2 linked regions of the Lonchura striata genome follow. The protein of the gene in region 1 purifies or fractionates together with the protein of each later gene. This does not show direct contact. Links are inferred from orthologs where the notes say so. Each region holds a gene or a part of one and is shown on either strand. Other genes may lie near its edges.

Region 1 (7,611 bases):
GTAACATTTCATCCCAGAAAGGAATATTTAATTTTGAAGCAATGTTGTTTTACTAAATATAGGCCATATAATAGTGTTTATAAAATATGAGTTAAAAAAGACTATTAATATGAAAACTCTGAGTTACTCCATTGGCCTTTTTTTTTTTTAATTACTTTTGAAACTGTTTCAGAAAACCTGCTATAACTCTGTATAACTCTACTAATGCTAGTGATACTGTATTCATTTGCAGCAGCTTAAGATCTGGCTCATAATTTTTTAATAGAAACCATTCTGATATGGAATTCACCACCTGAGTATTAAAGAAGCATGTTAATGCCAATTAAATATTAAAAATAGCAAGTAAACAAAAGTGTTTTTCAAAGTCTTAGGTATAAAAGTCTCACAATTCAAGGATACCCCATAAATAGAAGAAATTTCAATATCATCTCTAATATATCCCTACTTCCCTCCTGAAATACCTGGAAAAATGCCAGTTTTACTGGGGGGTAGGAATGCATTTTAGACTCAATCCTGTTACAAGCATGTTCCATCCCGTTACAAGATGTTTGCTCTCCTACTTCCCTTTTGCAAACATCTGAAGCTCTAAATTTGATTTTCATACTATAAAATTAACTACCTCTGATATGGCTTTCAAAAAAATAGCAGTAATGCAAATAGAGCTTGGCTGAATGGAGAAATTAAGTTCCTGATGTTCAGAGACGAACAGTTATTGCATGGATGATTCCAAGGAACAAATTTCTGGTTACAATAACCCAAAGACAAACTACAAATTCATATTCACTTGAACACACTAACACAAAATTCTTACACGGACAACTGCTGTTCTACACTGACATTAATGGATAAAATGATCAATAAATCATTCAAAATCATTCCAAAAAAATCACACCTTGCCCCTTTACTCTATGCAAAAAAGTCAATTACTTCTGTGTAGTACAGACCATGACAGTTTTCTTTTTCATAATTCCTATTGAACCTCTTCATGAATTTGTGGGTTTCTCCAAAATCTTTATGGGAATGTGTCTTGTCTATTTTGCTGTGAAGAATGTTAAAATGAAATTGTAGCTAGTGCTTTTTTATCCAGCCATCTGGTTAGTTAGTAGGCACACCTGGGAACTGAGCTCTTCCGAGACTGATATATGTCCTTTTTTTTCCAGCTTTACTACACTGATGAATTCTTACAAAATAAATAACTATTTTTTTTCCTGTTTTGTTTTCCCCCAAGCATTTGGCAGCTCTAATTTTTATTCTGGTGCCAAATAACTACCGACATCCAAACCTCACACTTTCTGCTCCACAGAACTGTTGCTTTCTGATCAGCTCTTCCTGTCATAATAGAATTCTATTGCACAGTCGAATCCTACAGTGTTTATCAAAACAGCTTTTGGAGCTGTGGGATAGATTATCTGAAAACAGGTCTACTCAGTTTTTTTTATTTTAGGGTGTAGATGAAGATGAGTATGAAAAATGCTGGAACTGTAACCAGTTTGTGTTCTTTTTCCTCACTGAACCTATGACAAGAAAGAAGAGCAAACTCTTGAGCCATGCCCACTTTAAAAAATCTACCCATAGTTTGAGACTGTCTATAGCTGATTGAGTATAAAAAAGTATAATAATAAATAACACAAGATTAACAAAAGCTGAGCTTCTCCATTAAAGTTTTTTGTGATGGGAATCTGCAAAAGTTTGAGGCTGTGGTCAAAATAAAGGCCATCACAAGTTGCGTATGGTTTATGTTAATGAAGAATTATAGAATATATATATATATAAAATTAACAAGAAGCTACACACCTCAAATTTAATATAACTTACAGCTGTGGGACACCATAGTGTCATTCATACCCTGTTCTTTTCTTTTGCCCTAAGCTTTCATGAGTAACTTTGCAGGTATGCACAACCTGTTGACTGTGACAGGGCTGTTAATGAAGCATGAAGTTAGTCAAAGAACTGCACATAGCTAAAGGCAGTAGCTGTTGAAGAGTCATCCGCTTCATGTTATTATGTTTCAGCCAAAATTTGGGATCAACTACTGACCATGAAGGGACCAGACAGGAAAATCAGAGGGCCCAGGGAAAAGTTTGTAGAAGCCCAGGTGTCTGCACACCTTACCTGAAGACTAAAACTAGATGTGCCATTACAAGACATCTTAGAAAGCTACTTAATTCTTCACAAGTGTTTCAGATGCATTTGCTACAATCTCCTGTTCTCCTTTTAGGTTCACCACTTGTTCTGCAACGTGATTTAGGGCCTAACCTTGATATTACAGATGTTAATTCACAGATGTGGGTAACTGCTAGTAGAACAGAGACGGAAAGCTGCTCCGAGCAGGAATCTTGTTTTTTCCAGCAGAACTTTAAGCTCATAGTATATTATAAATTATGATAGGAAGAATACTGCAAGCCGCAGACCCCAAAAACCTATCTAAGGATGTCTTGCTAGAAGCAGGGTAAAGATTACAAAGTGTCACTTTTAAAGTGAGTCAAACAACATCCGCAGTCGGTGCTAGAGGAATGAGTGCTTTTCAGTCCAACTGCTCACAGGCACGGCTAAACTCCGCTCTTCTCAGGAACTCAGGAACCCCAGGTTTTGGTGACCAAGTGCAGACCCACGGCAGCGGGCTCTGTGGCCACGCTCTGAGAGCCCCCCGAGGCACCTCCAGCCGTGGCCGCGGCGGTGCAGGACAGCGGTGCCCAGCGGAGCGGCGGCGCCGGGGCCGGAGCGCTGCGAAGGGGCCGCGGGTTCCCGGCCCGCGCCCCCGGCCCGTCCCCGCGCACGGGGCCGCCACCAGGTGCGGAGCCGCCGCATCAGCTGCGGGCAGGGCCTGCAGCCCTTCCCCGGCCACCGCAGGCAGGCTCCAGATGCCCTCTCCGGGCTCCTCCGGCCCGAGCAGACCCCGCCGATTTCCTGCCAAATCCGCTCCTTTCTCCCCGCTGTTCCCTCCACGGACGGATCTCAGCTTCGGCCGCGAAACCCCGAGATTCCCAGTCCTTTCTTCCCCGCTTACTCTCCCGCAGGGCCATCCACAAACACGCTCACCCCCTCCCGAAATGTTTCCAGCTTCAAAACTTTCTCAGCAGCCGTGTCCCCCGCCTCCCGCCTGTCCCTCGCCGCTTGTCCCGGCCCCAGCAGCTGTCAAGCGGCAGCGCGGGCCGGCGCGCACTTACCCCGGAGCAGAGCGGGGACCGAGCTGCCCATCAGCGCCCAGAGGGAGAGGCGCAGCAGCAGCCGCCGCAGGCTGCTCGGCAGCCGGGGAGTCATCGCGGAGCCGGATCGGCGCGGCCGGCGAGCCGCGGGCAGGGCGCGGGGGCGGCGGGGAGGCCGCGGCGGCGGTGGCGGGGCTGGCGGGGAGCGGGGCCGCGCCGCTCCGCTGCTCGGGACCGAGGGTGACTCACTGAAACTTCACTTCGGCGCTGCAGGGGAAACAGGAAATCTTAAACTTCGCAAACAGCTGGGCAGGACTTTCTTACTCTTACAGTAGTTCCTTCTCCCCCTTCCCACAGTCACCCCCTCCCCTGCTCTCGCCCTTTTTTCTTTCCTTTTTCTTTCTTTTTTTTTTTTTTTTTTCTTTTTAACATGAAACCTCACCCAGCTTGGTGTCAATCATCTGCCAGAGGCCAGCCCCTCTCAGGTCTGGCTCTCCCACCACAAGCGCGTCGGGGCCAGCCCCGACGTGCAGCTGGATCCCTGCGCCTGCCTCCCTCCGAGGCGGGGACCGGGCACAGCCACCCGCCCGGAGCTGCACCGTGGCTTGCGAGGAGGCTCAAGGTCGACAGGAAACCACCAGCTCGGAGGGGTACTACTCGCTCCCTGCGAGTTGAAAAGGACCCAGACGTGTCATCTAGGACATGGGGACTTTGCAGAGCTCCTCCTCGCATCCGTATCCCTGACCTTAACGATGCTGCAGCAGCAGTATCAGAAAGAAGGACGTAACCCCCAGATGAACTAAAACAGGGAGCCGGGGAGGTTGAAGTCAGGGTAACAGCAGGAAATATTCACATAGACTAGCTGGGCACTCAGCTTCCAGATGTTGGAGCTGACTGGAACAACTTGTCACCTGCTGCTTATTTTGCTTCCAAATAGGCTGGTTGTACATTACTTTATCTCCAATCCTGTGTAGGTGACACAAATTAAGTTCGTCTCCATCCCTCTCCAAAGGAACTTCTACCAGATATTTTGCCTTTTCTGCAAGAGGGAATTGCACCTATGATTCAGAAAGTAGGACCACGCCAGTGATTCCAGCTTTTCATGGCCCTGTCAGAGACTGTAAGAACCATTCAGTTTTGAATCTGAATAAAGCTTGAGCTCCCTGCCAGTATAAATCCAGCCACTGCGTAGCCAGCAGTTGTATTGAGAACCATTTCCAGCTCACAGTCTTCCTTCCTCTCCGAGTTAAATGGCTGGGCATTGATTGAAGGGTAAACTGATGCACATGGGGATAATTTGAGGGCGATTGTTCCAACGTTGGTGATTCGCTTTTGTCTTGGTTACAACACTAGTTAGAGATACAGATCTGGGTATTTCAGAAAGAGGGCTAAGCCCTCAGGGGGAATAGATGTAATTATGCTCTGGATGTCCCAGATCATCTCTGTTTTACTCTGTTTGAATTTGGAAATGCTTGAATTTGGAAATGTTTGCGTAAAGAATTTAATTGGCCTGTAACAGACATTTTAAAAAAATCATTGTGCTTTTATGTAAACTTAGTTTTAAACAATCCCTAAATACATATTTTCACCATGAAGTCTCAGTTTATGGTACAAAGTCTCATAAACCTCTCTCCAAGAGCATTTTCCTCTCCCTCATCCTCTTTTTATATAGTCAAGATTCACTCAAACAGGTGGTGGTCGCCACCCTCCAGAGATAAGAAAAGTTGCAGACTCCCCTTTGAGCACAGACGGGAGTGTTCTTATCAGTTCCTGTCCACCAGCTATGTGCTAGAATGTGACTGTGTTTTCAGTATCCACTTAAACAAAAGCATTTCTCAACTCACACAAGTATATACTGCATGCTGTACACTTCTCTCTCCTCAGAGCTGTCAAGTTGCAGGTGCCAAAGAGCTGCTATTTGCTTAGAAAGTTGGCTCTGTGTGCTGAACTCTCCTGTTAGTTTTTGGTGACTACCTTCCAACATAAAAAACAAGTTTAAAAGCAAATAAGTACAGATTTAGTATTACTATTCAAACCTGTCACAAATCAGGTGTGACTTTGCAAGCCTGACTCTGTGTCACTTGCATCTCTCTCCCTCACATAAGTGCTATGGCTCTTCTCCAATATAGCCATATTCTGCCCAGTCTCTCTCATCCAGGGTCTGGCAGTAGGTGAGGGGCTTGCAGTAGATGGAGGCTTTGGGAAGGGCTGCACTTAGGTTTCCAATAGTCTCAAATCCTTGGGTGCAGCCAGGCATCACTGGCCCTTCTCTCACATGAGGTGATATGGCACCTGTTACCCAGCAAGTGAGGAGTCTAGTACAAGTGGACTTCAGGAATTTGCTATTTCCATGTAAGTACTACATTTATTTTTACAGATACACCGTGCAGTGAGGATTGTGCTACAGCTGCGCTTTGGATGTTCAGAGAATCCATGAGAGTGAGAGATGTTACTAGAAAGTGGAAGGAAATTTTACCTGGATATGCTCAGGGGAAGAGTAGTATCATTGCCACTAGTAGCCTGTGTGGAAGTTGAAGTAAAGCCAACTTTGCTTCACAGATTTATCCCAGACAGGCTTATTAGTGAAAACTCATATTTTGCCTTTTTGAGTACTACAAACCTCCCTGTTAGGACCCAAATGCAGTTTAATCAGGACTCCCTGGACAACCAAAATATATGAAACAATTGTAATGGTAATTTCTTTCCATTTCCTTGTTCATAGCTCCCAGTTCCCTGTTTTCAGATAGCAGTTTCTTTTTGATTGAAACTGTGAGTATTTAACCTCAGCCTGATTGAGGTAGAGAAAGAGTCCTCTTCAAGGAGTGGGAGATTAAAGGTGTAAATAATAATCTCCAGCCTGACTGGGTAAGGTAAGACAGCTACTTTCAGTTCCTCACTCAAAAAGGCAAAATATCAAAGCACTGAATATTGTGTTTTCTTTCTGAGCCTTTCAAATATATACTGAGAGCACAAGCAATTTATAACCTCTTGTACTTCAGGGTCTCCTAGTGAAAACATGCTAACTGCTCTTTGCTGCACGTCTTAAGTATGGCTTTTAAAACAGTCCACAAAACTACCAAGTATAAATGATGTCTCTTTGTTAGTCTAAGTATTTTCTAGCTTTCGGTATCTTATTTCTGTCAAAATCCCATGTGAACTACAGCATTATCCTCACAGAAAAACACTTTCAAGCATCTACAAAAGATGCATTGTTACTAAAAAGCTGTTGTTTCACTGTACTTAACATACACTCCATTCAAAACCATTCTGCTCACAGCCACAAGCTGCTGATGTCCACAATAAAGCAATTATTTTGATTGGTTTATTAACTCCAGTGTTGTTTTATGTAAGAATCCAAGAACAAGATAGTTCCCGAAAGCAGAATTAAGTAAGGCCTATACAGTTGCACTAGCATGACATAATATTCATGTCTGTGTAGAGCTGATATTTATGGTGTGGGAAAAGACATCTCAACTTACTTTGCTGCCTAAAAGTTAGCCTTGGACTGAAGTTCCAGGAGATGGCTGTGAAAACCCATTGCCTTTCTCACAATCTGATGGAGCAGTCCTGTTTGTTTCACTGTGATGGGATAGTCCCAGATCAGGTTCAATAACCAAAGGATGGAGGACAAATGCTGGATTAACAGAATTGCCATTATGGTGGCAGCAGGCTATTAGGTCACCCACATTCCCTTGGTCATCCAAGGAGGGAAAGGAGTCTAGATATTTTAATGAGCTGATGAGAGGGAGCGTAATTAGCCCAGACATCTATTTGTTAGGTAACTGATGTTAGATGACATGAATCCTAAAGAAAATACTCTTTGAATTGTATACATCACATAAAGTAAGCTACAAGGTGCTTTACCTGTTGGCAGCCATTGGAGTTAATGCCTGTGATTTTTTGGAATGACACAAGGCAAACAGGTACATAGGATGCTGATATTGCCTTACTGAAACTATTAATGAAGTAACTGGAATAAGTATCTTGACCCAACTAAAAACACTGATGACTCTGGACATGTTGTGTCATAACTACTTTCAAAATAAAAATAGGAAATCTGCTTGAACCACTGACATGCCCCATTTTGATGTTTTTGTTGTGATACAGATTGTGTTTTGTTTTGAAACAGACTATTAGTTTGAATTTTTTTTTTGTTCTCACCATGTTATGTATAAAAAAAAGAACAATGGAACAACATCTGACACTTTGATTTCACTGCACTTAAGCAAAAAGTTTATTTTCCAGACAAATTTTGGCATTTCAGTTCAAATCAAAGTCAAATTTTGTAAGCCTATATAATTTGAAACTCAAATGATAAAAACTCTGTTCACTGCAGTGCTGCATTCACAAAACTGGCATTTGCCTGCTAATTTTCAAAATGAGGGTGCTTGGCATGGAGCATTATCCTTTCAGAATCCTTGATAAAAGGATGTCTTGTGTATCATTGGCTGAAGAACACATTGTC
Region 2 (8,266 bases), on another chromosome or scaffold:
AACCCAGTCGTTTCTGTGTTTCCGATGGGCAGCGTTAATCACTTCCTATTGGCCGATAGGAATAACTTTTCCTTTCGAAATGGCACATTCATGTTCTGCGGCTTTTCTGTTTACACACATTTTGCTACCTTATGTCAACACTTGCTAATGAATAAATATATCATTCGGCTAACTGAAAATGAGATCCTGGCAGAGGCAGATTGGATGTTTAAATCCTGCAAATAGATTTTATCCTAACATCTTTATAGGAAAGCAAAACCAAGCTTTAACCCTTGTCTCCTCCAGCTCCAAACCCCCTTTGCATCCCATGCCAGGATCATCAATGAGTGCAGAGAAAAGCCATAAAGGCAAAAAAAATAGGAACTTTTGGGGGAGAACTGCAGGGATGCAGCCACAGTTATGCAAAACCCACAAAAAGAACCCAGCAGACCCTCAGAGTCTATTGCAGAACAACACTTCTGCATCCCAGCACATGCTGTGGATGCTGAACCTACTTCCGATGTCCCTCTTGCATTCACCAGCCCTTATCTCCTGGTTTTTTCACAAGTCAAGATAGTTCATGCTTTGCAACCCAATTGTTTGTTAAACAGCTTTCTTTATTTTCACAAGGCAAAAAAAGACTCCTTAGTGTTCCCAAAGAGTTTGCTGAGGGGGAAAACAACAGTCCAGCCTCTGGGGAGCAGTTGGCAGGATGAGACCCCACCACCACACCAGAGCAGCCTCAAGGCTGGGGTTTCTTTTAGCCCTGAGACCCTGCAGAGAGGTGATTTCACAGGCACTGTTCTTTTGGCCAAAAAACCCCAACCAAACACTCTGATGCTTTTCTTCAGAAATATCTGTGTATCTACCCTTGCCACCCTGCAGTGCCGTGCCTCCCCTGTCTGCCACGACCGCGGGACGCGACCGCAGAGACCACCGTGCTCCAGCCCACTCCAGAGCCACTAATCCTCAGGAAGCCAGGAGCTGCTCCTCCCGAGCTCCCCACGTTTCCGACTCTCCCCACCTCTCCTCCTTCTCCCAGCCTCATTTATCTCACACCCAGCGAGCTCGCTGCCAACCAAGAGTTTATGCAGACAACCGCAAAAGAGCTGGTGCCAGCCTCAAATGGGCTTCTCCCCTGGCACCCTGACATTCAATTACAAGCGACAGGCATGCACAGCAGTGCTAAGAAATTTAAATTTTAAAAAGGTTAAAAAAACAACATTTCAAACTCTTTTCCCGGTTTTTTTTTTTTTTTCCAAGATGATGTAGTATTAGGCTTCTATAAAACTTAGAGAGATTTTTAACCAACCAGTCCATCTGTCAAGGTTCACTGGGATTCCCAGGCATCAGGGAGATGCTGTGCTGGATCCCAGCCTAAATCCCTAAAAATTCACCCAGGGGTGAAGAAGCACTGCCATTTCCAACTGGAGCCTATGGTTTTCCTGGCTGATTCAAGCAGCACAGGCCTGCACTGTGCTGCAATCCCTTCTGAAGTTTACTGCCATAGTTTTAAACCCCTACTTTGTGCACAAGGTGGCTTAGACAAATTATATGCTAATTGTTATAGGGGTAGCAGGAGGCACGGCACACAAGCAACCCAAAAGCAAAATGCATGACAAAGGCAGGAGGCTGTTTCCCCGATAAAGGAACTATTTTGCCATTTTTTATCTCTTACACTTGCATTGAAAAAAATCCACTTACCAGTTGGTTTGAGAAAATCCATTGGATATCTGGAGTAGGGTGGAGGGGGAGACTCTGGAATTAGAGAAGTACAGAGAAAATAAAGGCAGAGCCATGAGAAAGAAAAAAAAAAAAAAAGAAAAAAGATAGGAACTTATGATAACAGTGGCATTCTTTTAGCAAAACTGTTTGTCTTAGCTCTGGGGGTTGGAGGCAGGGCAGCGAGGCGGTGATTGCCTTGATATTTAGCTGTCAGATAAACAAAAGGGGCCGTCTGGCGCCAGTCTCCCTGCTATCTGCCGCTCGGGCTGTCTGATCGGGGCCTCCTTGGCTCGGCGGAGCCGCGGCAGCGCCGGGGCCGCCCGGCCCTTAATCCCCCGGCACCGCGCGGGGACGGCGGGGAGGCAGCGCCGGGGCCCCCGGGAGGGGAGGGGGTCCCGGAGGTGGGGGCGTCGCCCCCTCCCCTAAATACAAAATGAAATGCATAAACCACGGCAACTGAAAGATTTTGTGCGTGTTCTGGGTTTTGTTGTTTGTTGTGGGTTGATTTTGGTTTGTTGTTTGTTGGGGTTTTTTTCCCCTCCAGAAGGGGGAAAAAAAAGTTTTGTGGGCCGGGAGGTGAGTGGGGCTGGATCCACGTATTTCTGTATCCCCTCCATACATGCATCCCCTGCATGCCCTCCAACCCCTACATACCTCCAGCCCCTGGATCATCCCTAGCCCCTGCACTCCTGCATCCTCTCCATCCCCTGCACCCCAGCCTCTCCATTCCCCACATCCCTGTATCCCGTCCATCCCTTGCACACCTCCAGCCCCCGCGCCGCTGCACCTCCTCCATCTCTTGCATGCCCTCCAGCCCCTGCACCCCTGAATCCCCTACAACCTCGTGTGACCTCTATTCCCCTATATTCCTACATCCCTCCAAGCCCTACACACCTCTAACCCCTTCAGCCCCCGCATCCGCCGCCATCCCCACCGCCGTACCTAGCTCGCAGAGCCGGCTGAGGTGGTGCGGGTTGCAGCAGACGAGCTCGGAGTGAGCCTTGCCGTAGGATTCACAGCAACATAGCCGCTTCACTTCGGAGCAGTGGCGGAGGTCGGGCCAGCGGAACACCTTGCAGAGCAGCACGGGCAGCGGGTACCAGTGCTGTCCCAGCCGAGAGTCGGCCTTGGCGGGCAGCAGCAGGCAGGGGGTCCGCGCCCCGCCGCGGGACTCCACGGCGTGCAGCAGCCCCTCCAGCTGCCGCTCCTTCAGCCGCTTCAGCACGGCGTGGGTCAGCGCCTTCAGTTCCGCCTCCGCGCCCGCCGCCGCCCGCCCGCCGCGGCCCGCCTTGCCCGGGCAGCACCCGCGCCCCCCGCCCAAGTGCGCCCGGGGCTCGGCCACCGCCGCCGCCGCGCCGGGCTCGCCCGCCGCCGCCTCCTCCTCCTCCTCGCCGCCGGGCGCGCGGCTCCGCCAGAGCCGCCGGACGAGCACCGAGCGTTTGGTCCTGAACATGCGGGACGAGAGGAGGGGCCCCCGGCTACAAAACGGGCATGTCGTCCGCCGAGCATGAAGGGGCCGGCAGGCGGGATGCGGCGGCGGCGGGGGGCAGCGGCGGGGGGCAGCGGAGCCGAGGCGGGCTGTGGCATGCGCCAGTCTCCGCGCTGGGGCCGCGGGTCCCGCCGCCTCCCGCGGGGGGATGCGCCGGCCGCGCCTCCGCCCGCTGCGAGAAAATTTACAGAAAAATCGAATTGAAAAGAAAAAAAAAAAAAAATTCAAAACTGAGAAGGAAAAAAAAAAAAAAAGGAGGGGTAAAATAAAGGTTGGGGGAAGGGAAGGGAGAGAGTCGCCGCTTGCTCCGGCTTTGCCCAAAAAAGCAAGGAAAAACCAAAAAAAAAAAAAAAATCCCCGTCTAGAGCCCGCGGCGCTCGTCGCGGGGGCAGGCGGGCGGGGGCTGCCGGCGCCGCGCCGCCGTGCGCGGGTGCGGAGCGCGGCCCGAGCCGCGGGGGAGCCTCGGCCGCCCCGGGGCCGCGGCGCCCATCAACCCGCCACGCCGGGGAGCGGGCGCGGCGGCAGGGATGCGGCGCAGGGCAGAGCCAGCAGGCAAAAACAAAAAGAGCGAGCCAAAAAGGCTATTAAAAAAAATGTTAAAAAAAAAAAAAAAAAAAGAGCCCCAAAACACCAACCCTAAGGTTTGGACGTCGGTTTAAGCATCTGTCACAAAAGAGGCGAACGAGCGCATCCAGAGTGTTGTATCCCTTTTAAAAAGCCCAGGTCGTCCTGATGTGGGGGTTTCGGGGTGGGCTTTTATTTTTTTTTCCCCTCCTTCTTTCCAAAGGTTTAATCCACACGGAGTCTTGATCCGGCTGCTACGAAGAGAAAGAAAGGAAATAAAAAAATAAAAAAATAATAAAAAAGGAGAAAAGTGGGGCTACGTCCCTTCCTTCCTGCCTTCCCCAGCAGCCGCGCCGGGCCGAGCCGGGCCCGCCGCTCCCGGCGGAGCTTACATGGGTGCGGGGGTGCCCGCCGGCCGCCGACCCTCTCCCTGCTGCCGGCGCCTCTGCCGCGGTGCCTTTTTTTTGCTCTTCACTCCTCCTTCCTGCCTTCCTTCCCCTCCTCCTCCTCCTCCTACTTCTCCTCCTCCTTTCGTGGGGTTTTTTTTTTTTTTTTCCTCCCCCTTTCCCCCCCACCCCTCCCGCCCCTCCGCTCTCCGCAGTCAGCCGCCCTCCCCGCACCTCCGCCTTCCCCCGGCGGCGGCGGCGCGGGGCGGGAGCGGAGCCGGCGCGGTGCCTGCGCCCTCGCCCGGCCCCCCCGCACCGGCGGCGGCTTCGCAGTGCGCAGCGGCCCGGCCCGGCCCGGCCCGGCCCCGTCACGTGGGCGTCTAGACACCGTGTCGCTCCGGGGGAAAAAAAAAAATAAATAAATATATCTATATATTATATTTATCTCCAACCGCCTTGCGCAAGAGGCGGCTCGGGTTGCGGAGAGGTTGTGGGTCCGTGCGTCCCCTCCCCGGCTCACCCCACCGCCGCCGCGCCCCGCTCCCGATGCTTCCCTTCGTACCTGCTCCTGGGTGGGGGGTGCGGGGAGACTGGGGTGTCCCCCCCGCACCCCGCGGGGCACAGCGTGGGGAGCTCCCGGGACTGGGGTGTGCCGGTGCTCGCTGTAAACATTGGAATATTAAACCAAATCAGCGTAAAAAATTTAAAAAAAAAAATCGATATGGCTCTGGGTATAGAACGAGGGCGCATCACAAAAAGCAGTCATAATAATGATGATGATGATGATAGTAATAATAATAATAATTTGTGCTGCTACAGCACCTGTCACCAGGAGGACAGGAAAATACACCATGGAGGCTCGGTACGCTCCGATTCCAAACACGAAGCAGCAATGACGGGCGAGTAGCACTCCGGTATTCGCGTTACGGGTGCTACTAAGCGGTAACAACCCCTGGCACCCTGGGCGCTCCACAGATTTCCCCCATTCCAATTCTGGACCGGCAGAGGGTGAGGAAAGCTGAGCCACCAAGAGGCTGCGCTCTCGTCCAGCCTTGCTGCGCCCTGCGGCCGGGCTGGGAAGTCCGGCCAGACTTCCTAGCGCCAGGCTTGGCAGGGCAGCAGAAGTCCCCAGGGGTCCCCGTCCTGCACGCACTCCCACGGAGGAGCAGCTCCTTTTTCACAGAATAACTGCGGGCGGATGGGTTGCTTTAAGGTCACTCTCCGAGGCAGTTATCGTGTCGGAAGTAGGAGCTGGGACTCCTAAATCATGGCTGCTGTAACCAAGTCGAGCTCAAATCCAAAGGCAAAGACATCCAAAACAAATGTTGCACCCAACTAAATGTGACGCTGGGTAGAGCACATATAAAACCAACGTCCCGTGCAGGCAGGGCATCCCTGGGGTGTATCTTCTGGATCCCTAAATTTGGGGTGGGCAGGAGGGCAGGGATAATTTAAGCACCCAGTTGCGCATATATTCACATGAGCAGGTCGGGGATGCCACAAACGGGCCTGGCATTTGAGGAATCTGCACCTAAATTAGTCACAAAGTGGCTAGATTTGGGCGTAGCCTTGTTAAATGTTAACAACACTACACCTAGCCAGGTACAAAATCTGCTCAAAATGCAGATAAATAGTTGAAAAAACACTGGGGAGGAAAGAATGTTATTTGCTGGCATCAGAAAGAATAATTTAGGAAGCTTTGTTACAAAGCTGGAGTTTGAGGAAGGCAATTTGGCTCCTTCCTTCACCTCCAAGTAATTAAAGGTGGGAGCGGAGTCCAGGGCGCAGCTCTACAGTCTTTAGGTGATAACTTGGGGTAAATCATAATAGCACCAGCATTTGGGTCTGTACCTGCAAAAAAAGTCCCATTGCTTTTAAAATTATGCCTTCTGCACCCTGAAAAATGGAAATTGGGTAATATTTTTAGTTCAACACTTTGTCCTACAGCCTCTGGAGTGACCTCACATACACTGAAACTGATTTCCTCACTTCCTCAGAGAACCTCAATTTCTTTTCCCTGTGATGAATATAGAAAATCAGGAGGGGGGAAAAAAGAGTTCCTTCTCATTCCAATATTTGCTGGTGAAAGACATGTTGGACACATTCATTAATCCATACGTTATACTTTTTAATTTTTCAAAACTTGCCAGGCTATTATAAATGAGATTAAAATCTCCTTTTTTAAATTTTCTCCATTGCAGCTCCACTTGCCTCATCACTGACAGCTACAATTACTTTTGTCATGAAGGAAGCAACAAAAAGTACAGTATGCTGTGTGATGTGAGGAGGTGGAGGACAGGAATGGGGTCCAGGAGTTAATATAATTTTTTGTCCCTGCCGTAGGTTCTCCAGGTGACCTGGGACACCTGCCTTTCCCTGTGAGTAGGGACCCGGGCTTTGGCACCTCTGATTTCCCACAGGTACAGCTGGGCCATCAGCGCTTGCCTGGTTTTGTGATCTCTGCAGTGGAAATTGCCCCAGAATTGCTAAATATTAAATAACTGATAAAGAACTGCTTTCCAATTAACCCTGAAAACTTGTTTAAACAGACCATATGTATGTGCCCATATGGAAAATACAGAAACAAGCATAATGAAGCCGATAAATCTGGGAAGGGGACCTGGGCCGAGGGGACGCTTGGAAAGCAGGGTGATACCCACAGCCTGCCCTGCTCTGGATGCATTGCTCAAATGTCACCCTGGGCCAGAAACCTGTCCTGAAATGCATGAAGGGCACTGTTAATCCCCGAGGAGAAATAAAATATGTTTGAGTCATAGAATTCAAGAATTGTTTAGACTGGAAGGGACCTTAAAGCTCATTTTGTTCCACCTCGTCTGTCAGGGCTGGGACACCTTCCACCAGACCGGGTTGCTCCAGCCCTGTCCAACCCAGCCTGGGACACTTCCAGGGATCCAGGGGCAGCCACAGCTTCTCTGGGCACCCTGTGCCAGGGCCTGCCCACCCTCACAGCCAAGGATTTTTTTCTTCCTACATAGTCTGAATCTCCCCTAATTTAGTTTAAAACCATCAACCCTTGTCCTGACACTTCAGGCCCTACTAAAAAAGTCTCTCCCGGTTTAAGCCCCTTTTGAGTGTTGAAAGGATTTATACAATGTGTTACATTTGTATAATGTGTTTGCACAACGTTTTGCATCCCTCCTGCCAAACACATTAGGTCCTGGATGTAAAATCCCGGCGAGCCCACCCTCCCCAGCCCCAGCCCTCCGTTCTCACGGGGGTTTCTGGGGACCTCTGCTGAACCCAGCTGGCTTTGAAGAGCTAAAGCCGGGTTGATTTGCATTGCAATTCAACCTTTGACAGACAGTTGGAGCCAAGGCACTGTTAACCTAATTGTTTTGCTAACAGCACCAGGGTGTGAGACTCACCAAAGGCACTTCCAACAAAGGGGATAAAACCAGACTTGGGAAAAAAAAAAAAAAAAAAAAAAAAGCCCTTTTCCTGACATCATTACCGGGTACAAACAAACAGAGCTGATCCCTCTTCATACACTTTCCAGGCGAGGGTCAATAACAAACACACTTTGCTCTTTTGGGGGTATGTCTCTCCTTTTCACAGCAGTGAAAAGCCAGTCAGGGGAGGTAGGAGAGAACAAGCCAGGCTGAAGGCAGGGGCAGAGGCAGCGCAGGCTGGCTCCTGGCACTCTCCCATCCTTTTGTGCACATTAGGAATAGCTAAGCTTGTGGCCCTGCTTCTATTTTTATGCATTATTTTGAGAGCAGAGCTCTCAAGCAATGCTCAAAGTCTGGGTTGTGAAGCCGTTTTGGCTGTAGCCAGTCTCCTTCCACTCCAGCAGCTCATTTCAGGAGAGCAGATTAAAGCTGAAACCCAAGGTCTGCAAAGAAAAACATTCTTCAAGCAACCTCCCTGTGTGGTGAGTGGCACAGGGAGACAAGGATCCCGTGCTCACTGCTGTCACACAGCCCTGCAAGCTAAAATCACCATTTCAGTGCAGGTGCTTCTGGCTGCTGGCAGCCATTCCAAGGCTGGTCTGTTGGAAAAGGATGCAAAAAAATGTGGGTACAAGGGGGAATTCACAGCACCCACCCCTGGGATGTGCAGAGGGACACAGGCTTGCTGGAGCCAGCCCAGAGGAGGCCACGGA

Evidence for each region.
Region 2: the proteins of TGFBR2 (region 1) and SMAD7 purify together in Homo sapiens (affinity purification with western blotting; 3 studies listed by BioGRID). This does not show direct contact. The link is inferred for Lonchura striata from reciprocal best matches to the Homo sapiens genes TGFBR2 and SMAD7.

Annotation. Positions count from the first base shown.
Region 1 is NC_134603.1:116,137,153-116,144,763, forward strand, and holds the start of TGFBR2 (TGF-beta receptor type-2), read right to left. Parts: upstream 3,306-7,611; 5' UTR 3,262-3,305; coding exon 3,168-3,261; intron 1-3,167. UniProt on the Homo sapiens protein: Transmembrane serine/threonine kinase forming with the TGF-beta type I serine/threonine kinase receptor, TGFBR1, the non-promiscuous receptor for the TGF-beta cytokines TGFB1, TGFB2 and TGFB3.
Region 2 is NC_134642.1:1,802,833-1,811,098, reverse strand, and holds the start of SMAD7 (mothers against decapentaplegic homolog 7), read right to left. Parts: upstream 3,243-8,266; 5' UTR 3,158-3,242; coding exon 2,647-3,157; intron 1,738-2,646; coding exon 1,684-1,737; intron 1-1,683. UniProt on the Homo sapiens protein: Antagonist of signaling by TGF-beta (transforming growth factor) type 1 receptor superfamily members; has been shown to inhibit TGF-beta (Transforming growth factor) and activin signaling by associating with their receptors thus preventing SMAD2 access.